Linked DNA regions of Lonchura striata. The protein of the gene in region 1 binds, or shares a complex with, the protein of each later gene. Links are inferred from orthologs where the notes say so. Each region holds a gene or a part of one and is shown in the gene's direction. Other genes may lie near its edges.

What was found.
Region 2: the proteins of MAP2K1 (region 1) and KSR1 are in contact, whole or in part, in a crystal structure (PDB 9AXH), measured with the Homo sapiens proteins. The link is inferred for Lonchura striata from reciprocal best matches to the Homo sapiens genes MAP2K1 and KSR1. Residues at the interface, in NP_002746.1 of Homo sapiens: Asp217, Ala220, Asn221, Ser222, Phe223, Val224, Gly225, Thr226, Arg227, Ser228, Met230, Arg234, Leu235, Gln236, Gly237, Met308, Ala309, Ile310, Phe311, Leu314, Asp315, Val318, Asn319; in XP_011523731.1 of Homo sapiens: Asn767, Gln768, Leu769, Lys770, Leu771, Ser772, His773, Leu776, Val784, Arg785, Met787, Thr788, Pro789, Asn823, Gln824, Ala825, Ala826, Glu827, Ala828, Ser829, Ile830, Trp831, Gln832, Gly834, Ser835.
Region 3: the proteins of MAP2K1 (region 1) and KSR2 are in contact, whole or in part, in a crystal structure (PDB 7UMB), measured with the Homo sapiens proteins. The link is inferred for Lonchura striata from reciprocal best matches to the Homo sapiens genes MAP2K1 and KSR2. Residues at the interface, in NP_002746.1 of Homo sapiens: Val81, Glu102, Met219, Ala220, Asn221, Ser222, Phe223, Val224, Gly225, Thr226, Arg227, Ser228, Met230, Arg234, Leu235, Gln236, Gly237, Met308, Ala309, Ile310, Phe311, Glu312, Leu314, Asp315, Val318, Asn319; in NP_775869.4 of Homo sapiens: Lys674, Arg818, Asp820, Lys821, Leu822, Arg823, Ile824, Gln825, Asn826, Ile837, Arg838, Gln839, Leu840, Ser841, Pro842, Gln877, Pro878, Ala879, Glu880, Ala881, Ile883, Trp884, Gln885, Gly887, Thr888, Met890.

The regions. Positions count from the first base shown.
Region 1 is NC_134613.1:22,701,669-22,709,458, forward strand, and holds the start of MAP2K1 (dual specificity mitogen-activated protein kinase kinase 1), read left to right. Parts: upstream 1-4,781; 5' UTR 4,782-4,996; coding exon 4,997-5,076; intron 5,077-7,790. UniProt on the Homo sapiens protein: Dual specificity protein kinase which acts as an essential component of the MAP kinase signal transduction pathway.
Region 2 is NC_134622.1:11,097,172-11,104,614, forward strand, and holds the start of KSR1 (kinase suppressor of Ras 1), read left to right. Parts: upstream 1-4,443; 5' UTR 4,444-4,458; coding exon 4,459-4,683; intron 4,684-7,443.
Region 3 is NC_134620.1:3,087,312-3,094,607, forward strand, and holds the start of KSR2 (kinase suppressor of Ras 2), read left to right. Parts: upstream 1-4,296; 5' UTR 4,297-4,316; coding exon 4,317-4,493; intron 4,494-7,296. UniProt on the Homo sapiens protein: Location-regulated scaffold connecting MEK to RAF. Has very low protein kinase activity and can phosphorylate MAP2K1 at several Ser and Thr residues with very low efficiency (in vitro).

The DNA.
Region 1 (7,790 bases):
GCACTGAATCAATTAATCTTACCTTTTTAGATATGGCAAATTTCTTCAATCGATTGAGGCAGCTGAAGTATGAAAATTAACACAGAGATTTAATAATAATCATAGATCAAACACAAATTTCCAACACAAAATACTGTCATTGTCATATAAAATTACTGAAAATCAAATATCTAAATTATGAGCTCTTTTCATTGAAAATAATAGTCACTCTTTGTACTGAAAAATCCTTACCAACAAAACAAAAAAAAAGCAGAAGATCACTTACAATCTCTGCAGAGGACACTGGGTTATAAAAAATCCACCATATTTATGCAACTTTGATTAATCAATATTTTTGAAGAGTGTTTAATTAGAAACTGGACTTGATGACCTAGGTGGTTCTTTCCAGTCCTATGTTCCTAATTAAATAAAAAGCAAATGTTGGCAGGCATTGATTATTGGTTTTTCCTCAGGAAATGAATAACCAGCCACATGCTGCTAAAATAATAAGTCAGGAAAAAACAAACAAAAACCCCCCTGCAGGCTGCCTCCATTCTAGAAAACACTTCTAGTTTCTAGCTTAGGTGAAAAGGAAATATTACTGCTTGTTTCTGTTTGATTACTGTAATTTCATTAGAAAAACTGCAGAAAATTAGCACCTTATTTTATATTTCAGTCTCATTTCCTGCTTTGTTACACGTAATATACAGCAAGGCAAATCTGTCAAATGGATAATTGCCTTCTTCCATGCTTGAAGGGGTTTATTCCTAAGGGAGCAGAATTTGCTCGGCAAAAAAACCTTCAAATATTGTGCTGGCAAAGCTGTTCATGCCATTAAACCCTCAGCACAACTGCTCCCATTGTATCTGTATTAATGGGAAGTCACATCTTAAGGATTAAGCAAATTTCAGTTATTTGTGCTTTATACTTATTTACATTTATACCTTGCTGATCGAATCTAAATTTGATATTATGCAGCCACCTTAAATGTTCATTTCTAACCTTATAGTATATCACAAAGCATTCGAATTGTGCTGTGACCCACAGTGCTCTTTAAAATCTGTGTTTCTTGAGGAAAATAAGGTGCAAGGCAGGTTGTGATCTCTGTCAGCTCCCTTCAAATAATTTTTGATATTCTTGTCCAATTTTATTAAAATTTGGATCAGACTACTTAAATGCCATTGCTTTATGGGACTAATTATTTCCCTAGCTTGCTTTGCTAACCACTAAATAGATTAAGAAGTATTAAATCTTGCAAATAGAAGTTTGTGTTCACGTTTTGGCAGCAAAATGAGTGGCTTTATGTGGCAATCGAGTTTGAAAAGTTGGCTTAATTTAGATGCAATTGATCTATATAATAATTGTGGTTTTTCTTTTCTTTTTATTCAAGAAATTAGGCAAAATTTCAGTTTCTGTAAGGGGAAAAAAAGTGGTAATGAAGACAAGCTTCTTTGTTCCACTTCTGTTTTCACAGAAAATTTATTTCTATTTTTCCAAGCAGTGGTGAAATCAATAAATCAGAAAGTCTCCCTGCTCAGAAGCCTCTCGCTGAAATGACAATGCCTTCTCTTTTTTCTTCACCTTTTCCTCTGTGATTCACCTCCAGAAACACCTGTTTGTACAGCAAAACACAGTTCCTGCCACGGAGAATATTCAATTTTCCAAAACATGTCTTCTGTTTTGGCTGGGGAAATGCACTTAATTTTTAGTAACTGAAGTTAAACCTATTTGTTTTACAGACAACATTACAGAAATTGTTTCTTCAGTGGCATCAATCCATATGCCCATGAATTTATTTCTAGATACAGTGAACCCAAGATATTTTTTTGGGTTTTGTGCTTTGGTCAGAGGGATTTTGAAAGAGATTGATGAAATCAGTAATTTCACAGTCCAGTGTTCTCAGTGCAAATGTAAAGTGTCCAGAGGAGGGAGCTGTCCCTTAATATCTGGAATTGGAAGGAGGGAATATGTCTTTAATGGCAAAACCGTGGGGAAAAAATTTAATTTTTTAATTTTTATTTTAGAAATGGATGACAGGAACTATTCAGCATTTTTGCATTATATATGGGGAACTTTGTTCATCATTTCAGTTTCTGTAAAAACATGAATGTTTACTTTGATTAAAATATAATTGTACTTTTGCAAACCACAAAAATTTAAATCATAATGAATTCTGGCTGGTTCTTTATCCAAAGTATTCACAGTAGAAATTTTGTAATGGAATTAACTCTGCACTTCTTCTGGTGTCTGAATCAACTTACTGGAGTATAAAACCTGTCCACTGCTGGAAAGATGTTATTCATTCAGGTGGTGTATTCACATGTCTTATATATGAAAAGGACCATTAGGAAAATCAGGGGAAAATCAGGAAAAAATCAGGAAAAAATGGAACTGCCAAAGAAACTGTTTTTTCACTCTTTTACCAATACCAAGGCACTACCTCCACCTTAGTGCTGAGTTCCTCAGTGCTGCTTCACTTCTTGGCTCACGTGTGTCTGTGAGAGGTTTCATTTATCACTTAAGCAAAATTATGAGTAACTGCAGTCTTTTCTGCTCCATGTGTCATGTTTGTTGACAGATGGAGCGCTGTGTGGTACAGAAATGTACAGCAGCAACAGAAAGAATTTCTCAGCTGTGTCAGAAATCAGAAGAAACCTGTAAGCCCTTCTCACTGTGTAACTCCTACAGGCCTTAAAAGAGTTTTCAGCTGAATTCTGCTGGATTCAGACAATGAGAAATTAATCTTATAAAGCAACTCAAACTTTAGCAAAGTTCTTTGCAGATCTCAGCAGCAGAGGCAGGATTGTAGTGTCACTTTGTTCACGGAAGTCAAATGCATGGAACTCCTTTTATCTCCTGAATCTTATCATACGATTATTGTATGATAATATATTTTGTGTGTGTCACAGTTAACTGCACACGTGTGTCCAGACTTGCTTTGCTGTCCAAACAGGGCCACTGCGTGCTGCAATATTCCATATCTTGCCCTGAAACCCCTGCAAGACCCACAGCGGAACAACAGAACCTTTACATTTCAACTCTCCTTTGTGGAGACAGAACTGCTATGGAAGAACACGGCCATAGAAAGGATATATATATATTGCTCTTGTGAAAAATGCATATTTTATGATTGGCTTTTCACAAAGGTTACAATCAATATTATACGTGCAATGTTAGAAAGTTAGGCTGTATTAATTCTCTTAAGTGGTGTGTTAAATATAGTTTTAGGTAATAACACAATGTTATGATGGAAACTATGCTATGTAAGATACTTTTTAACTAGCTCAAGAAAGAGATTAGATAATCAAGAAATTCTTCGCACAAAGATAAGAGTGAAAGGGCCCATAAAGAGTTACAGCCTCCTTATCAGAAAAAACAAATGTTCTTCCACCTTCTCTCTGTCTTTATGTAACCACCAGGATTAAAGGGCAGAAGTTGACAAAACCAGAAACGTTCTTAATTTGCACGGAATTTATGCATCATGTATGAGATATATGAATATGCAACAGGCTATTGCTTTTAAGGTTATTACTTTGTTCACAAAGCATGTTTTTGGCAACTTAGGGCCCAAAAACATCCGGACATCTGTAATTCTTTGCTTTTTATTGTCTTGTAATTGTCTTAAGTCTAAATTTTATCACTCTAATTATATTACTATATATTACTTTGTCCAGCCGGTGGCATAGGACACCTCTGAGATCCCTCTGCTCCCGCTGCTTGTAACACTGCAGTTCGCACGTCCTTTTAAAAAAAAAAAAAACAGGTTCTTCATCGATTTGTGGAAGCAAGTGGATTTAAAGCAAGGCTCTGTTTAAGTCATCATAGAACAGGTTGGGTTGAAAGGGACCTTAAAGCCCATCTAGTGCCATGGGCAGGGACACCTTCCCTGTCCCAGGTTGCTCCAGCCTGGCCTGGGGCACTTCCAAGGGATGGGGCAGCTCCAGCTTCTGTGTGCAGCCTGTGCCAGGACTGCCCACCCTGACAGGGCAGGGCGGGCTCCCGGCAGCAGCGCTGGGAGGGCAGCAGCGCTGTGAGGGCAGCAGGGCTCTGAGGGCAGCAGCGCTGTGAGGGCAGCAGTGCTGTGAGGGTAGCAGTGCTGTGAGGGCAGCAGGGCTCTGAAGGCAGCAGCGCTGTGAGGGCAGCAGTGCTGTGAGAACAGCAGGGCTCTGAATGCAGCAGCGCTGTGAGGGCAGCAGCGTTGTGAGGGCAGCAGCGCTGTGAGGGCAGCACCGCTGTGAGAACAGCAGGGCTCTGAAGGCAGGAGCGCTGTGAGGGCAGCAGCGCTGTGAGGGCAGCAGTGCTCTGAGGGTAGCAGTGCTGTGAGGGTAGCAGCGCTCTGAGGGCAGCAGCGCTGTGAGGGCAGCAGCGCTGTGAGGGCAGCAGCGCTGTGAGGGCAGCAGCGCTGTGAGAACAGCAGGGCTCTGAAGGCAGGAGCGCTGTGAGGGCAGCAGCGCTGTGAGGGCAGCAGCGCTGTGAGGGCAGCAGCCCTCTGAGGGCAGCAGCGCTGTGAGAACAGCAGGGCTCTGAAGGCAGCAGCGCTGTGAGGGCAGCAGGGCTCTGAGGGCAGCAGCGCTCTGAGGGCAGCAGCGCTGTGAGGGCAGCAGGGCTCCGGGCAGCAGCGCTGTGAGGGCAGCAGGGCTCTGAGGGCAGCAGCGCTGTGAGGGCAGCAGTGCTGTGAGGGCAGCAGCGCTCTGAGGGCAGCAGCGCTTCCCGCGGCCTCGCTCCCCGCCCTGCGCGTGCGCGCGCTCCCCGCGCAGGCGCGCGCCGGGCGCGGGCGGCGCGCGCCGGCGCGGTCCCGGCCGGGCACATCCCGATCCCGGGCAGTGCCCGCCGGAGCTCGGCGCGCTCGGAGCGGGGTCCGGCAGCCTCACAGCCACCTGCCCGCAGCCCGCGGGGGCACCGCCGCACAGGGCAGCTCCCCGCCCGGTTTGCCGCGCCGCAGGAAGTCCCTCGGACCTGTCCGAAGTGCGGCCGCGGCCGCTCCGTCCGCTCCCCTGCGCGCCGTGTGCGGGCGAAGATGCCGAAGAAGAAGCCCGGGCCGATCCAGCTGAACCCCGCTCCGGATGGATCCGCCGTGAACGGGACCAGCTCTGCGGAGTGAGTGCTGCCGGGGCGGGGTGCGGGCCGGGCCGGGCCGGGCGCTGTCCGCGGGGTGCGGTGCTCCCGAGCCCGCCCTGCCCCGCACGCCCCGGCCCCGCTGCCGGGCGGGACTCCCGGGTACCCCAGGGCGGGGGATGCTCGCAGTGCCCTCCGCGGAGGCAGGGGATGCTGCCTTCGGCAATAAACAAACTTCTGTCACATCGGCGGGGGAAAAAAACCTGCTGAAAAAACAGGGGGAAACTTGTATAACTCCTTTGTCCTAGCCCGTAATGGTGTCCGCTGGGTTCTTAGCTTATATAATTATCTAGTAATGCCAAATTACACGTTTCCGATGGCACGGTTCATAAACGTGTGTGTGGGAGAATTTATACTGGAGCCCGCAGATTTGTAGCAAAGGTGTTTGTTTTGTTTTCCTCGTCCTTGGCTTTAACCCAAACAATCGTTAATTGGAGCAGATCTGTCTGTCACTAATTGACGTGTTGTGCTGGGTACGGCAGGGAGTGTGTGTGGAGAAACAGCTTCGGAGCTCCTCTATGGGCAACACAAACATGACACTGTAAATGTGGGAAGGGCTGAGCTGATCACGGGGACACTTCTGAGGGAAAAAATACCGAATATTGGATGGTTGCATGGTTGCCGGTGAAGCCTCTGCTGCACATTTCTCACGGATGTGGGTGGGCAGGGTGGCCTCGGTCAGGCAGACAACACCGGCACCGCGAAGTGATGAAATGTTACGGCAGGTTTTCATTTGAGGTTCGCGGGTCAATGTTCGCACCTTGATTTTTAGACAATGGTGTCGGGCTAGCCCTTCAGTGAGCCTTGAAACAAAGGTGTGTCTTGGAGGAGCAGATTCCTGCCCCTGTATGGTCAGGTCGGTCCTCTCCGGGAGGTGGAAACTCAGCTGCGATGTGCTGCTGTAGCACGGTGACACAGAGGATGTCAGGCAGCCTTGCAGTGACATGTGCGACTCCTGGGCTTTAAAGTGCTCATCAGTGTTCATCAGTGACATGTTTTCACACAGGCTCAGATCTCCTTTAACCACCCAAACAGCTAAAAGAAAAAAAAAATCAAACAACCAAAACCAAATCAACCGCAAAAGAAATGTAATCCTGAAACCAAGCAAATACCTCCTGAAAAATAAAAAAATTCAGCATCTTGCAGCTCCAGTTGTGACATTTCTAGCAAACTCTTTTGATGATTAACTGAGTGATGAGCTGTTTAAAAACTGTTCTTTGGAAGGAGTTACTGATTGTATCTAAGCATTATGATCTAAATATTACAGGGCTTTTGTTCTGGATTGACAGGGGGGGAAAATACTGTGTTTTTATATTTGCCTGAGTAGCACTTCCCAGTCGATTTTCTCAAGGCAGTTGGGAATATGTTGATTTAGTCTTCGGGGATCTCTGTGTGTTTTAGTCTTGTTCTACAGAATAAATCTGATACACCAATCACTTGCTGCTTGTAGTATCTGATGTAAATCACCTCGCTCCCAATATACTCAATATCGTATCTCTTCCCGCAAGAAGTGTCATTAATTTTAAATTGCTTTTACATGCATGGTACTCATTTACTTGTTGGAAGCCTTTGGAGACTCCTGGGAGTGCTGGGTCTTTTTTGCACTGATGAACAGTTGTCTTGCTTCATTTTCTGCTCCGTGTGTTGATTTGGCTGGGCTCTGTGCGTGTGTCCCCCAGACTTCTGATCTGTGTCACACACAGGACCTTATACCGAGCTTTTGCCAGGCTTAGAGGTGTCCAGTATTTTTAAAAGAACTGGCTTAGTGAAAGTAAATTCAGCAACCAGTTGTCCTATATACAGCCAGGATTAATTAATCATGGAAATATCCCCTCATCCTGCTAATTTTAAGCCCTCATTGTGAAAGATCTCAAATAGCAAAGACCAGTTGCATCAGAATTTAAAAATGTTTTTGGAATTGAGTTGAAAACACTTTTGTTTTTCATTTCCTTAATCTGTAAGGTTGTTTATTTTCCTCCCTGAGCCTGCTCTGGGTTTTTTCCCCCTTTGGTCACTGCCTGAATTCCTCAGTCAGGTGTTTGTGAGGCTGTTGTGCATGCCGTGCATCCCTGCACTGCCATATTAACACTTGCTGAAGCCCCGAGCCTGCAGTCCAGGAATTTTGGCAATGTGAGGCTCTGGTTACTCGTTGCATACACAAACCTGTCCCTCTCCAAACGCTTCGCTGCTCCTCGGGCACGGCAAAGCGCCCAAGGAGCTCTGCAGACTTGGCAAGGCAAAAAGGAAGATTCCGGGCGAGGCGATGAAATTCCTGTCTGGGAGTGCACCGAGGACCCAGCATCCAGAGGGAAGGAAGTTATTTAGGCTCAGAGGCGATTTTGGCACCAGCCCAAACGGATGTGCAGGGCCTGGGGAGTGCTGGAATTCCGAGACTTTCTCGCTGTCACTGGGGAAGGTTCTGTAACTCATTAATGCTGGTAGGAATGAGCACTTCTGACACCGTGACTTCCTGGCACAAAGGAAGGGGAAAGGGAGGAAATGAAAGAAGAGGCTGGATGATTCAGGATGTCCTGCTTTGCATTTGTGTCCTGTCCTCTGTCTTCGTCCTTATTTGGTGATGGGAGCCCACTGACTGGAGCAAGGGAAAGCTTTTTATGGCACGTGGTGTGGGGCTTTAGGAGTGTGCAGGAGGCCTGGGTATCATGTGCATGGCTCTTTTCTCTTTTTTCCTTTCT
Region 2 (7,443 bases), on another chromosome or scaffold:
GTGGGGTGGGGGCTAAAGCCTCTGGGCCTGTAATTATTGAGTATTTATATTACAGCAGCACTCAGAGGCTTCTCACCGAGATACAGGCGTTGCTGTGCGAGCAGAGAGTAAAAGACTCTTCCTGCCCCAAACAGTTTATTTTACTGGTGATAAATAACAGACAAAAAGGCAGCACTATTGCAACACAGCTAATGCTAAAGAAAGACTGCAAAACCCATGAGATTACTCTAAAAATAAATGTTGGGGGTTTTATTTGTTTTATAGACAACTAAAATTCTTATGTTCTTAAAGCTAGAAAGTTTTGGGTTGCTGTAACAGCTGCAATGCTTGTTTACTCACATGACTCCAGAATGTAAGGTGAACACATCAGTCCAGGCCTCCTCCTCGCAGTCCCATCTCAAAGTTTCTTTCTGTTGAAGGGGAAGTGAGCAGGGGGTTGGTGGTGCTTAGTTGCCAGCTGGGGTTAAACCATGACACCTGTACACAGAAAACACTGAGTGAAGCTACATAGCAGTTTCTTGTGCCTTCCACTTGTGGGGCAGAAATTCCCTCAAGATTGCCCAAACTCAAATGTTTTCCCCACCCACGAAAATTATTTTTAAGAAAAGGAGCAGTGTTTAATTTTCACATATTTTCCTCCATTGTTGTCAGCACACAGTTCAGTTTCCTTTATCTATCCCTAACTCACTGGGATCCACCACTGCCAAATCTGTGGATTTGCTGGTCCATCCCTTGCATTTAGTCAAACGCCATTTGACACAGACAGCTGAGCAGGAAAAAATCCATGGAAGAAGTGGACTTAGACAAAAATATTTTTTAAAGGTGAAGGTCATGTCTTATACTTGTGTGAACTGGTCTGGCTCAGTTGCAAGCAGTGGAGATATCTAAACTAGGGAATGGTGAGGATTTGTTCCGGGAACACCATCTCACCATCCTCACTTTCTCTGTATATCCTAACAAGAATATCCAGCAGCATGTCTAAAAATAGGACTTAAGTTTCTCAGCTTCCCAGCAGAGAAGCATGCCAGAGCTACTGTGTATTCCTGTGCTGTGCCGGGGAGAGGAATACTCCTATGGCTGTGTAGGAGGAAGCCTTTGAGGGGAAAATCATCAACGATAAAGGCCTCTTTCATCTGAAATACCTAACATTTCAGCTCTTCAAATCCCAACACTACATTTTCTTAAAACAGGTCTCTATTATGTGTTAAACACATCAAATAGAGCAATTCAGTCTCATCATCTAAATTCAGTGTTGTGATAGCTGAATGAAATTGGGGCAAGCTAGCTAAAAAGGTAATAGAGGCTTTTCATACAGGCAGCATGTGAAATGCATCAGTGCTTTTCTTTCTCCAAGAACATAAAAAAAGGTATTTTTCCTCAGTGAGCTTATTTTACTGAGTCCGAGACCATTGCTGTGGTCCAGGACTTCCAGGGGTGCTTAGCAAGGTTTGGGCTTTATTCATGTAGCTAGAACCTGATCTGTGTAGGCAAGAGAGATGGGGGCAGTGGGGAAGAGAAATCCTCTCCATCCTTAGGTCAGTGGCTTAACCAAGGACACAGCAGTTTTCTCTGATCCAGTTCAGGCATTCCACATTTTATTGTTTTCAGAACGATTGGTTTTTGACACAGTGGCAAAAAAAGGCCACTATACAATGAAGTTGACAATGTGGGTACGGTTCACTCAATTAAAAAAAAAAACAAACAAACAATTGTTTTACTCTAGAGAATGCAGTTCTTATGTCCACCCTACATAAACTGTACATTAAAAGAAAAATCCTAACAGGTGCATCAATTAATGTATAAAGTACAACATATGTCACTTCCTGAAATCTCTGGGAAAAGAGGTCATTCAGTGTGCTCACATGGTCCTTCTAGCATGGCCCAGCCATGGTATTTCTCTTTTCAAACTCTGATAAGCAGTGTTTTTACCCCAACTCCTTATAGACAGAATGCTGTGGTTTCAGACAACTTAAACTTCCAGGACTGCAGACAAAGCTTGTGGTGGAAGAGCAGCCTGAGCTCTGGGAAGGCGCCAGCCCCACAGCCTTGGAGGCAGCAGCAGGGATGATGAGCAGGGATGGACGCCCAGGCAGTGTTTAGTCAGCACATTTTTCCCGCAGGCCCAAGGGCAGCCCTGTGTGCTGGGGCTGGAATGCTGCCCACGGACGGCAGCCGGGTAATGAGGGCGGCACTCCCAGCGCACAAACACTGCAGGGAATGCCAAGTATCCTGTGATGCAGGCCCACAGGTTTCCTATGCTTTCTCATTCCCATTGCTTTCTCATGCAACGCGCTCGGCCTCTTGTCTATAAGCAAATGGATATTCTCAGGTGGGTACATGGAGAATGTCTACAAGAACAATGTCCTGTTAATAATGTTCCCTAGTTCCACAGTCACCTGTACTTGAGGATTTAAATCCCTCAGAGTCCTAGAAACTAAAATTTCCAGTGCTAAACTTCCAGTGCTCCTGAGCGCAGACAGGGTAGATAAAGGCTTTTTCACAAGGTCAGAAATATGGAGGTAATAAGCAAAGTTACTTTCCCAAAACCACAGGACTCATCAGATGGCAAACTAATTAAACCCTAATCCAGCAAAGCCCTTATTGCGTATGAAATTTACAGCATGTGAATAATGACAATAAAATCAAATACTTAACCTGACCCACATTCTTAAGAAAATTACTAAACAGCATATGCCACACTACTTGATGCAAATCTATACAAACTGATGTGGATACCAGTATTTATCTAACTATGAAAAAAACAGTTTAGCTGCTTTGGCCTGCTCCACTGCTTCATGTCCTAAATTCATAGTTTCTTCTTTTTTTTCCCCCCCAAGAATCTCCCTTCTGTATTGCCACATGTGGCTCAGATGTCATTTAAGCTTTTAAAACCTGGTATCAATTTAGTGCAAATTAAGGAGACTGTCTTCTTCTGTTAGTAAGGTACAACCTAACTGCCTCTCTGGATCCCTCATGTCAGATGAACAGTCCCAATTCTAATAATCGGGAGATGAGTGGTTCCTGCACTGACAGCTCAGCTCTGTGCGAGTCCATCAGACAGGCTGGATATGAAACCAAATGTAATGCAGTTACCTGGACATTTTCCTCACGTTTCCATTGTGGAAACTCAAACCACAGCGATTCCACAAGGCAATAATGAAGTTCCCTCCTACTCACGATAGGGATGAACCCACACACCTATCGTACTCAAAGCTTATATTCACTAAAATACGTTTATCCTAACGCCTGCTCACACCTCCCCTGGGCTGGGAAGGCCACCCCTGCCCCGGCCCAGCTTCCTCCAGGGTCTCGGAGGGAGCCGACCGCGGGCTCCTCAGAGCGAGCTGCGAGCCCTGACAAACCCGAGGGGCTGAGGCGGGCGCGCAGACGGGACAGGGAGACAGCGAAGAGGGAAATGAGGGAAATGAGGGCTGAGGCGGGCACTGAGGGCTGAGGGACACGCTGAGGGCTGAGGCGGGCACTGAGGGCTGAGGGACGCGCTGAGGGGTGAGGAGGGCGCTGAGGGGTGAGGCGGGCACTGAGGGCTGAGGGACACACTGAGGGGTGAGGAGGGCGCTGAGGGGTGAGGCGGGCACTGAGGGCTGAGGGACACGCTGAGGGGTGAGGAGGGCACTGAGGGGTGAGGCGGGCACTGAGGGCTGAGGCGGGCACTGAGGGGTGAGGGACACGCTGAAGGGTGAGGCGGGCACTGAGTGGTGAGGAGGGCAATGAGGGCTGAGGCGGGCACTGAGGGGTGAGGGACACGCTGAAGGGTGAGGTGGGCACTGGGGGGTGAGGAGGGCAATGAGGGCTGAGGCGGGCACTGAGGGCTGAGGGACACGCTGAGGGGTGAGGAGGGCACTGAGGGGTGAGGCGGGCACTGAGGGCTGAGGCGGGCACTGAGGGCTGAGGGACACGCTGAGGGGTGAGGAGGGCACTGAGGGGTGAGGAGGGCGCTGAGGGGTGAGGAGGGCACTGAGGGCTGAGGCGGGCACTGAGGGCTGAGGGACACGCTGAGGGGTGAGGTGGGCGCTGAGGGGTGAGGCGGGCGCTGAGGGGTGAGGCGGGCACTGAGGGCTGAGGGACACGCTGAGGGGTGAGGTGGGCGCTGAGGGGTGAGGCGGGCGCTGAGGGGTGAGGCGGGCACTGAGGGCTGAGGGACACGCTGAGGGGTGAGGCGGGCGCTGAGGGGTGAGGAGGGCGCTGAAGGATGAGGGACGCGCTGAGGGGAGCGCCCCGGGGCGGCGGCGGGCGCGGAGGGCGGTGGCGGGGGCGGAGCGGGCGCGCTTGCGGAGCCCGGCGGCCGCGCATGTACCGCGCGGTGATTGCCCGGCGAGAGCAGAGGGGCGGGCCGAGCCGGGCCGGGTCGCCTCCCGCCCGCCTCCCTCCCTCCTTTCCTCCCTCCCTCCGCCGCTCCCCCGCCGCCGCCTCGCCTCCCGGCCTCCCTGATGCCGAGGGATGGATAGAGCGGCTGCCCTGCGAGCCGCCGGCATGCTGGAGAGGAAGGAGCGGAGCGGCGGCGAGGCGGCGGGGCCGCGGGGCTTGCCGGCCGTGCGGAGCACGCTGCAGCAGTGCGGGCTGCTACAGGACCTCATCGACATCTCGCTCTCCAACCTGCGCGGGCTCCGCACTAAGTGTGCCGCGTCCAACGACCTCACGCAGCAGGAGATCCGCACGCTGGAGGTACGGCGCGGGCTGGCAGCCGCGGGCGCCGCAGCTGCCGCCTCTGCCCCGCTCGGCCGTGGCCTGCCGCTGCCTGGCGCCCTGTCCTCTCGGCCCCGGGGCCGCGCCGCGCCTTCTCCCGCGGGCCGAGCGCTGGTGGCGGGGACAGCGGCGCCCTGGCTCCGCCGCGGAGCTGTCAGCGGGCCGGGCGCTCCCCGCTGCACAGGGACACGGGAGCCCGACAGCCCGGGGGCTGCCCCGCACCTATCCGCGCCCTGTCGGCACCGCGCTCCGCTCCGCGGCTTCCTCCGCGGCTTCCTCCGCGGCTTCCCCGGGCGGTGCCGCCGGAGCGCGGACAGGTGCGGGGCAGCCCCTCCGGTGCCCCGGGCTGTCGGGCGGGTGCGCGGGAGCTCCGTGAGGCACCGTTCGGCCGCGCCCCGGGGCCTTGCCGGGCTCCCGTGTCCCTGTGCAGCGGGATGCGCAGTGTGAGGCGCGGAGCAAAGGTGACTCGAGGCTCGCTGGCAGGAGGTGTGTCCCCACACCGCTGTCCTGGCGTGCTGGGAAAACTCCCCTTTGCCTCCTCAGGTCCTTGCTGTTTGCTCCTGATACTTCCTGCCCTCCGCTCTGGGCCTGTCTCTCTATCCCTGGCTCAGTTTCACTGATCTAATCTGATCCTGCTTCTCCCTCTGTTGCTGTAGCTCAAACAGCATCATGGACCGGGCTGGAGAGATATTCTGCTGTTTAGAAAGATTATATGAAATTCTTCAAACACAAAACATGCGCTGCTGTGATGCTCTCAAAGAACAGCTGGATCTGTATGAAGAGCTACATAAGTACATAGGAAAGGAAAGTAGATGTATTTTTCCTTAGTTAATTTGACCTTTAGAAACTAAAATAACGTTTCCTTTTACCTTCTGTGTAGGTAGTTTTGCCCTAAGCAAGCAATCCCCTCCTGTCCTCTTCTTTGATTTAAGTTTGATGTAAATGCTAGTGCTCCTCTACGTGGTACTGGAGACAGTGGAGCTGGATAGAGCGTTAGGCTTTTTAGGAAGAAAGGATCATCAACAACACTGTAACTGTAATAAACCTACATGCTGAAAAATACATCACATGAGAAATGCAGGTTGGGAAGAAAACCATGAAACAATAGGTGGTAGGTAGCTTTTGGCACAGCCTCCTGGAAATCTATAATTCTTCCTTTATTCTTCGTCTGACTTTTTTGTGGTTTTGGTTGGTTGGTTAGTTTGTTTTGTGGGGTGTTTTGTTTTAGTTGGTTCTTTTTTGCCCCCCAAATTTATAGTGCTGTTCTTCTTCCTGTCACCTCCAAATAGTATCCAAAAGACTATTCTCTGTGACACAATATTTGTATAACCTTTTGGCAGCCCTACTTGAGGACCTTTTCGATGCCCAAACAATGTCAATCAGCATAATTTCAGAAAATTATCATCACTATTTTGCTTGTGGACCTGTTCTAAAAGAAAACCTTTATTCACAAAGTGTAAAGGCATTTTATGACCTTGAGGCTCTTCTTAAAGCAACGATAGCTGTTGAGTGTGTGCACACAATCCTCTTCAGCATTTATCTGTTTAAACAAGTGGGTGCCACATTCACCGATGATCATAAGATTTATGTTCAGAAGAAAGTCTTTTTGATGTACAGTCCAGTATGTGATTTCTCCGGGAGTTCAACCAAGTTCTGGATCTCTGCCCGCACATGGAGCTGTGGGCATGGGTACAGACTCCATGTTCTTTGCGCTGTTGGGTTGCCTGTACCAAAACACATGTCAGGCATGGCCCGAGTCTTGTGCTTGACTGTGCCAGGCTGCAGTCACAGAGCCAGACTGCAGGAGCTCAGGGCCTGTGTTTGCTTCCCCAAGCTGTCATTGCTTGTGGTGCCCCTGGAGGAGGTGGGCCCAGAGCTGTCTCAGGTACCAGGTGCAGTTCCTGTGCCCTGATTCCTGTGCCAGCAGTGCCACTGTGGCTGTGTGCCTCTGCCTGTGGGGTCGTGCCAACACAGCAATGAGCTCTGGTCCTGCACGGAGCTGGGTACTGGTGGGTGGACTCCGCAGGCAGCTCGCGAAGAGTCCAGAGTGCAGCTGGGAGCTCAGAGATCTCCAGGGCCTGCTGTGCTTCCCTGGTGGCCTCTGTGAGTCACCAAATGGCTCTGCGGGTCATGATTAGTGGCTACTGGCAGTGTAGTGCTGTGAGCACTGTACTGCACTGTACTATATCTGTACTATACGTCAGTCCTGGACTGGGAGCTCATGTAGGCTGGGGCTGAATTCTCACAAGGCTTTTCTTCCGTGCAAAGACTTCAGATGACAAAGAACTGTGAAAACTTAGTCCCATTAATAAAACTGATAAACTGTGTAGTGACATGTAGTTGCCAGGTCAAGAACACCGACCTAACCAAGGGCACTTGGGCTCATGCTTAGCTCCCTCCCCATTTACCGCAATGCTTTAATTCCTTCCTCATTCCTCTTGCTTGTAAGGTGTTCTCAAAATAAAGCACATGGTAGATAAGGATTTCAAACTGGACCTTGGCAGGTACAGATAAGCACTCAGGGAAAACTGAGATACAGGAAGGAGAGGAAAGAAAGGGCTGTGGGAATTGCTTGCAAAGGATGTGTTGAGCATAATGTATTATATGAGCTGACCCTGTTTCAGGGTAGGCAGGCCATTTCTTAGAAGGGCAGGGAGTTTCCCTGTAGTGGAAAGTAGGTTCTGTTAGTTTGGTTATTAGCAGACTGGGTTCTTTGATGCCACAAGGTCTGGTTTGGGT
Region 3 (7,296 bases), on another chromosome or scaffold:
CCTTCGGAGCCTCCAGGTCCTTCCCGGGCACCTGGGAACAGCCGGGAGCTGGGATTTTCCTGCACGTCCTGGATCCAGAGCTGCTGCTCTCCCCTGGAGCTGCCTTCGCCTGGGGCAGGCTCTTGTCCTCCTACATGGATTTTTCCAGGTGTTTCCCCACCAGTAATAAATCCGGGGCTCCAGAGCAGGGGAAATCTTTGGGGTGTTGTTTAGTGGGGTTGGGTGCATGTCCTCTGGTTTCCCTCTTGGGTGGGATGAAGGGACAGAGGTGGTGGGACAGGGATGATGGGACAGAGGTGGTGGTGACAGAGGTGATGGAGATGATGGGATAGGGAAGAGGAGACAGGCGTGGTGGTGACAGTGTTGATGGGACAGGGATCATGGGACAGAGATGATGGAGACAGGGAAAGGGGACAGGGGGACAGTGACAGGAATGATGGTGATGGAGATGAGGAGACAGATGATGGGGCAGGTGTGATGGTGACAGGGGTGGTGACAGGGTTGATGGGAGAGGGATGATAGGACAGAGATGATGGTGACAGAGATGATGACAGAAGTGATGGGACAGAGACGATGGTGAGATGGATGATGGTGACAGGGATGATGATAGGACAGAGGTGCTGGTGACAGGGCTGAAGGGACAAGGATGATGGTGACAGGGATGATGGTGACAGGGCTGAAGAAGCAGAGGTGATGGGAACAAGGTTGAAGGGACAGGGATGATGGGACAGAGGTGATGGGAACAGGGATGATGGTGACAGGGATGAAGGGACAGAGGTGATGGGAACAGGGATGATGGTGACAAGGCTGAAGGGACAGAGGTGATGGGAACAGGAATGATGGTGACAGGGATGAAGGGACAGAGGGAATGGGAACAGGGATGATGGGACAGGGATGATGGTGACAGAGGTGATGGGAACAGGGATGATGGTGACAGGGATGAAGGGACAGAGGTGATGGGAACAGGGATGATGGTGACAAGGCTGAAGGGACAGAGGTGATGGGAACAGGAATGATGGTGACAGGGCTGAAGGGACAGAGGTGATGGGAACAGGGATGATGGTGACAGGGATGAAGGGACAGAGGTGATAGGAACAGGGATGATGGTGACAAGGCTGAAGGGACAGGGGATGGGACAGAGGTGATGTGCTGGGGGTGATGATAACAGAGATGCTCTTCCACAGAGGATTAAACAGGTGCTCCTTAAGAGCTGAAATCCAAGGGATCCCCCCACCCCATGTGCAGCTGAAGAAGTTCTTTGCCATATTAATAACAAAATCCAAAGGCTCCTGTGGAGGAGCTCACCCTGAGCTGGAGCAGTGAACCCTCATGGGGTGGTTTTGGGGGAATTAGATGGGAAAGCCCTGGTGTGGTGCAGTGGTGTTGGTTTCCCAGGCTGGAGTGGCCATGCCAGGGCATTCCCTCTCCCTTCCCAGCAGGATGTCATGCCTGGAAGAGCACCTTGGCACTGAGGGAACATTAACCCAGTTTAGAGACTCTGAGTCACTCCAGACTCTTCCCTCATGGAGAAAACCAACAGAAGTCAATTAAAATATTACCAGATATTTTTATATGGACTGATTGTGCCATTCCCACTGCCTGGAATGTTCATCCACCTCTCAGACCATGGCCAGCTCCAAGCATGGGAGCTATCCCATGCGCTGCTGTAGGGTTTTTTGGGAATCATGAAGTTTGGTGAACACCCAAAATTCCTTCAGCTCTGCTGCTGCAGGCTTTTGGGATGGGTGCTTTTATCCCAATGGAATCTCCCTGCTTGCAAATTATTTTATATTCCCTTCCCTTCCCTTCCCTTCCCTTCCCTTCCCTTCCCTTCCCTTCCCTTCCCTGGCAGTTCTTGATGTCATTTCCCACCCCAGGGGTCCCTCTGAGCTCTCCTCACAGCCAGCCTTGGGGACAGGACAGAAAAGGGACATCCCAGCTCGGGGATGAGCCTGAAAATTAAAACTCCTGATTAAAAAAAAAAAAAAATCAGCAGATATCCAGCTTTTTTAGCCATATCCCATCTCGGAAGGAGTAGACCACTATGAGCATGGATCAAGCCATTGGGAATTTGGCTTGTTCTCCCCCAGAGCTGGGATGTCCCTTTTCTGTCCTGAATAATTCCTGAGTGTTGGCCAGGCTTGGCCCCCAATGCCAATGGGGCTTGACCCTCCAATGCCCTAGACCCCCTCAGTGCCCCCCAGTGTCCCAGACTTCCCATTTCCCCAGAGCCCCCATTTCCATTCTCCATCTCTGCCCCAGCCCCCACAATGCCCCATTTCCCCCATTACCTCAGATCCCCTGCATTCCCCAGCCCCCCATTATCCTCCCAATATCCCTGCCCTGCATTTCCAGCCCCACTCATTTCCCCAGGTCCCCCTGTAGCACCAGCCCCACAATGTCCAAGCCCCCACTTCCTCATTGACTCCCCATTACCCTAAATCCCCATTTCCATCCCTGTTACCCCAGATCCCCATTCCCACCCCTCCATTACCCCAGATCCCCATTTCCACCCCCCCCATTACCCCAGATCCCCATTTCCACCCCCCCCATTACCCTAGATCCCCATTTCCACCCCCCCCATTACCCCAGATTCCCATTTCAAAGCCCCATTACCCCAGATCCCTATTTCCACTCCCCACTACCCCAGATCCCTATTTCCACCCCCCGTTACCCCAGACCCCCATTTAACCCCCCCTCATTCTCCCTGCCCCCTTCCCCCCCAGTTCAGCATCCCCCCTTCCCCCCTGGTGCTGCCCTCCTGTCCCATTCCCGGGGTTCAGAGGGAATGGGATGAGCATGGAAAGGGCTGGGGATGGGGGGAAGGGCAGGGGAGTGGGGACGGGGGGATGGATGGCGGGAGGGGGTCGGGAATGGGGGAATTCTTATGAGGGTGGGGAGGTGTGGGGATAGGGGGATGGGGACGGGGTGATGAGGATAGAGAGATGGGGGGTTTGGGGCATGGGGTGGGCACGGGGAGGGGCGGTGATGGGAATGGGGGGGGTGGGGATGAGGAGATATGGGAATTGGGGTGGATAGGGATGGTGGGAAAGTGCTGGGGCTGGGGGTGACGAGGATGGGGGTGTTGGTAAGGTTGGGGGTGTTGAGGATGGGGGGTTGGTAAGGTTGGGGGTGTTGATGAGGATGGGGGTGTTGGTAAGGTTGGGGGTGTTGATGAGGATGGGGGGTTGGTAAGGTTGGGGGTGTTGATGAGGATGGGGGTGTTGGTAAGGTTGGGGGTGTTGATGAGGAGGTGGGTGTGGGTGAGGAGAGGATGTGGTGATGGGGCTGGGGGTGATGAGGATGGGGTGTTGATAAGGTTGGGGGGATGTTGATGGGGAGGGAGGGTGATGATGAGGATGGAGAGGTGTGGGGGTGATGGGGCTGGGGGTGATGAGGGTTAGGGATGTTGATGAGGTTGGGAGGGGTGTTGATGACGACAGGGTGTTGATGACGGGGTGTTGATAAGGTTGGGGGGTGTTGATGATGATAGGAGTGTTGATAAGGTTGGGGGGTGCTGGTGACGATGGGGTGTTGATAAGGTTGGGGGGTGTTGATAAGGTTGGAGGGTGTTGATGATGATGGGGTGTTGATAAGGTTGGGGGGTGCTGGTGACGATGGGATGTTGATAAGGTTGGGGGGGTGCTGATGCCGATGGGGTGTTGATAAGGTTGGGGGGTGCTGATGCCGATGGGATGTTGATAAGGTTGGGGGGTGTTGATGCCGATGGGATGTTGATAAGGTTGGGGGGGTGCTGATGCCGATGGGATGTTGATGAGGTTGGGGGGGTGTTGATGCCGATGGGATGTTGATAAGGTTGGGGGGTGCTGGTGACGATGGGATGTTGATGAGGTTGGGGGGGTGCTGATGCCGATGGGATGTTGATAAGGTTGGGGGGGTGCTGATGCCGATGGGATGTTGATGAGGTTGGGGGTGCTGAAGATGATGCGGGGGTGCTGATGAGGATGGCGCTGTGCGGTGCGGGGGCGCTGCGGGTGCCGCGGGGCTGCCGGGGCCGGGGCTGCCGGGCCGGGGGTGTGCGGGGGTTCCCGCGCGGAGCGGCGCGCAGCGAGCGCGGCCCCGCGGAGCCGGAGCGCGCCGCCCCCGCCCCCGCCCCGCCGCGCCCGGGGGGGGTAGCGGCGGCGGCGCCGCGCTGACGGCTCGGTGGGCACCGCGATGCTGCGGGCCGCGGCCGAGCGGGGCTGAGCGGCGGCGGGGGCCGGCGAGCGGAGCCCAGGGAAGGGGGGGCCGCGGCGGCGGCGGGCGGAGGGGAGGGCGGGCGGGCGGGCGGGGGGGGGGGGGGGGGGCGGCGAGCGATGGATGAGGACAACATGACGAGGAGCGAGGAGCAGGAGCTGAGTCTGCAGAAGGCGCTGCAGCAGTGCGAGCTGGTCCAGAACATGATCGACATCAGCATCTCCAACCTGGAGGGGCTCCGCACCAAGTGCGCCGCCTCCAACGACCTCACGCAGAAGGAGATCCGCACCCTGGAGGTACGGGCCCGCCGACCCCCCCCAACATCAACACCCCCCCATCGGTCTCCCCCCCACCCCCCCCGGGCCGCGGCGGGTTCCCCCGCGGCGCTGCGGTGCGCCCGAGTGAGGCTGCGCGCTCTGCAGGTGGCCCCGAGGTGGGTCCGGGACCACCGAACCCTCCTGCCGGGACCCACCGGGGCCGCCCGGCCCCGGCCGCAGCCTCCCGGTATCCTCCCGGTACCCCCCGGCATCCCCCGGCCCGGCGGCGTCCCTCCGCCGGCTTCCACCGGCCGGCAGGCGGCATCCCCCGGCCCACCTGGATCTCCCGGCCCACCTGCATCCCTTCCCCCTTCCTGCATCCCCCGGCCCGGCCGCATCCCTTCCTCCAGGCTCCTGCTCAGCCGGGCTGCGTCCCTTCCAGCGGGCTGCATCCCATCGGCCCACCTGCACCCCTGCTGCCTGCCTCCATCCCCCCAGCCTGCCTGCATCCCTTTCCCCGGGCTGCATCCCTTCGGCCCACCTGCATTCCTTGTGGCAGGCTGCATCCCACGGGCCTGGCTGCATCCCTTCCACCAGGCAGCATCCCCTCAGCCCGCCTGCATCCCTTCCACGGGGCTGCATCCCCTGGGCCTGGCTGAATCCCCTTCCCTGAGCTGCATCCCCTCAGCCCACCTGCATCCCTTGGGATCCAGCAGGCTCCAGCATCCCCCTGGCCCACCTGCATCCCTCCCTGCAGGCAGCAGCCCCCGGCCCGGCTGCCTTCCCCCCTCCCCACTCCTGCCTCCCAGAGGATGAGGCTCCCCTTGGAGCGTGCTGAGCCCCCGCTGGGGTGAATTTGTGGTTCAGCAGGAGGTCGGTGGGCTGGGACGGGCAGGGAACAGCCAGGGATTCCCAGGGCTGAGCGGGATCCCTGCAGCTGGCACGGAGCGAGGAGAAGCGAGGCCGTGACCCTGGGGAGACGCCAGCAGGGCTGTGCTGGTGCTGTGGGGGCGGCTGGCGCGGAGCTGGGGCTGTGGGTGGGGGGATTGCCGAGCCTGATCCCACTCAGGCCTTTCAGCTGCTCCTGCAGCCCCTCTGTTGGCTCTGGACCGTGACTGGAACACCCTGTCCTGCTGCTTTCGCTCCCCGAGTTCCTGAGTGCTGTGGGAAGAATTGGGGCATCACCATGTCACTGCTGTGCCACTCGTGGGGAGACCAAATTTTGGGGTGCAGCTCCCTGCTCTGCATCCCAACTTGTGCTCATTCCTGCTCCCATCCTGCTGTTACCTCCCCTTGATCCAAGCCCTGTCTCATCCCAACTCTGTGTGAGGGGCTGGGAGCGTTGGCCCTGGAGCAACCTCGGGAGAGGGATAACAGTGGTTTTGGGGTGTGCTGGAGACTTTTTGGGATGCAGGCAGGCTTCAAATCACCAGGAGAACCTTCCAGGAGGTGCAGGACTTCAGGAGCTCATCCCACATGGAGTGATTGGCCTCGTTGAGGTCAGCACTGAGCCTGTGTCCCATGGACATGGAGGGAGCAGGGGAGCGTGGTGGAGCCATCCTGGTGGGATGCTCCTTCCCAGCACCCCAGTGGCACCGGGGCAGCCCAGCTGGGGCTGGATGCAGGATCAGGGCCATGTTATCCTACAAACACTCACAGGAATTGCCTCTCCAGCCCCGATGGATCACCCAGTGCCAGCCACAGGGAGCCCTGGCATTACTGTCCCTAAAAGACCTCCAAACCTGGAGCTTGGGATCTTCCAGCCAAGGACATTCCTGCTGACACTCTGGTTGTTTTTCACCTCAAACCCAGGGTGATTCCCACAGATTCCCGATGCCAGCCCTGGGCTGGTTCCTGGTGTTGTCCTGGGTTGCCACCAGCGTCAGCAGGAGCAGAGCTTGGCCCTGAGTCCCCAAGTCCCCGAGTCTCTGTGTCCCTGAGTCCCTGCTGCCACCACCACGTCCCAAGGACGTGACACAGACTCCGAGGCCTCGCTCTGTGCCTCTTCCCTTCCCATCTGGTGGCAGCAGAGCCGGGCCAGGCAGTGCCATGGCAAAGGGAGGGGTGGCCTGGGATGTGGCACTGGAGACAGTGCCCAGCCCTTGTGTCAGCACGGGCCTGGAATAAAATGGGATGATCTGTGTTTTTTTGGTTAATCTTCATAGGCTAAACATTGATTTTGCTGGATTAATAGAAGTTTTTCGCCTTCTTTTGTTTTTTTTTCTGTTTTGAGCCACCTTGAGGTAGGTGTGAGCTCCCATCCTCCTGCATCCTGCCATGCAGTGTTTTTGGGATGGGTACCACGGCTGCAGCCTGGTTCCAGGGGCAATCCTTGGAGCTGGGAGGCTTTTTGGGTCTTGCTTATGCCTTGGGATAGGTTCCAGCGGGAACCAAGGCAGCAGCTGGGATAAAACACCTGGAGTGGGAATCCAGACTGGTTTGCTTCCTATGGGGCGGCATCCAGAAGGAGCTGAGCGTTCATCCCTCAGCCCTGCCTGGGCTCTGGGGTTTTATCCCCGTCCAAGTGTGGCAAATTGGGCTAAATTTGAGGTTGGGGTGTAAATATGGATAGGGGCTGCTGCATTTGGTGGAATTTGGGAACGGCAGAAGGAAAGTTTCCTCAGAGCTGGACAATATTCCCGACTGTCCCATAGCACTGTTCTGTCTGTGGGGTTAAAGCCCATCCCAATGTCAAAACATGGGTCACGGCTCCCAGGAACTGGTGGATGGCTCCAGGGATAACCCCAGGATGGACATTTCCTTCTCCCTGGGCTGCCAGGAACAGGGAAATCTCCCAGGATACTTTTGGCTGCTGTGTGGTGAGGCTGGGAAGAGGCTCTGA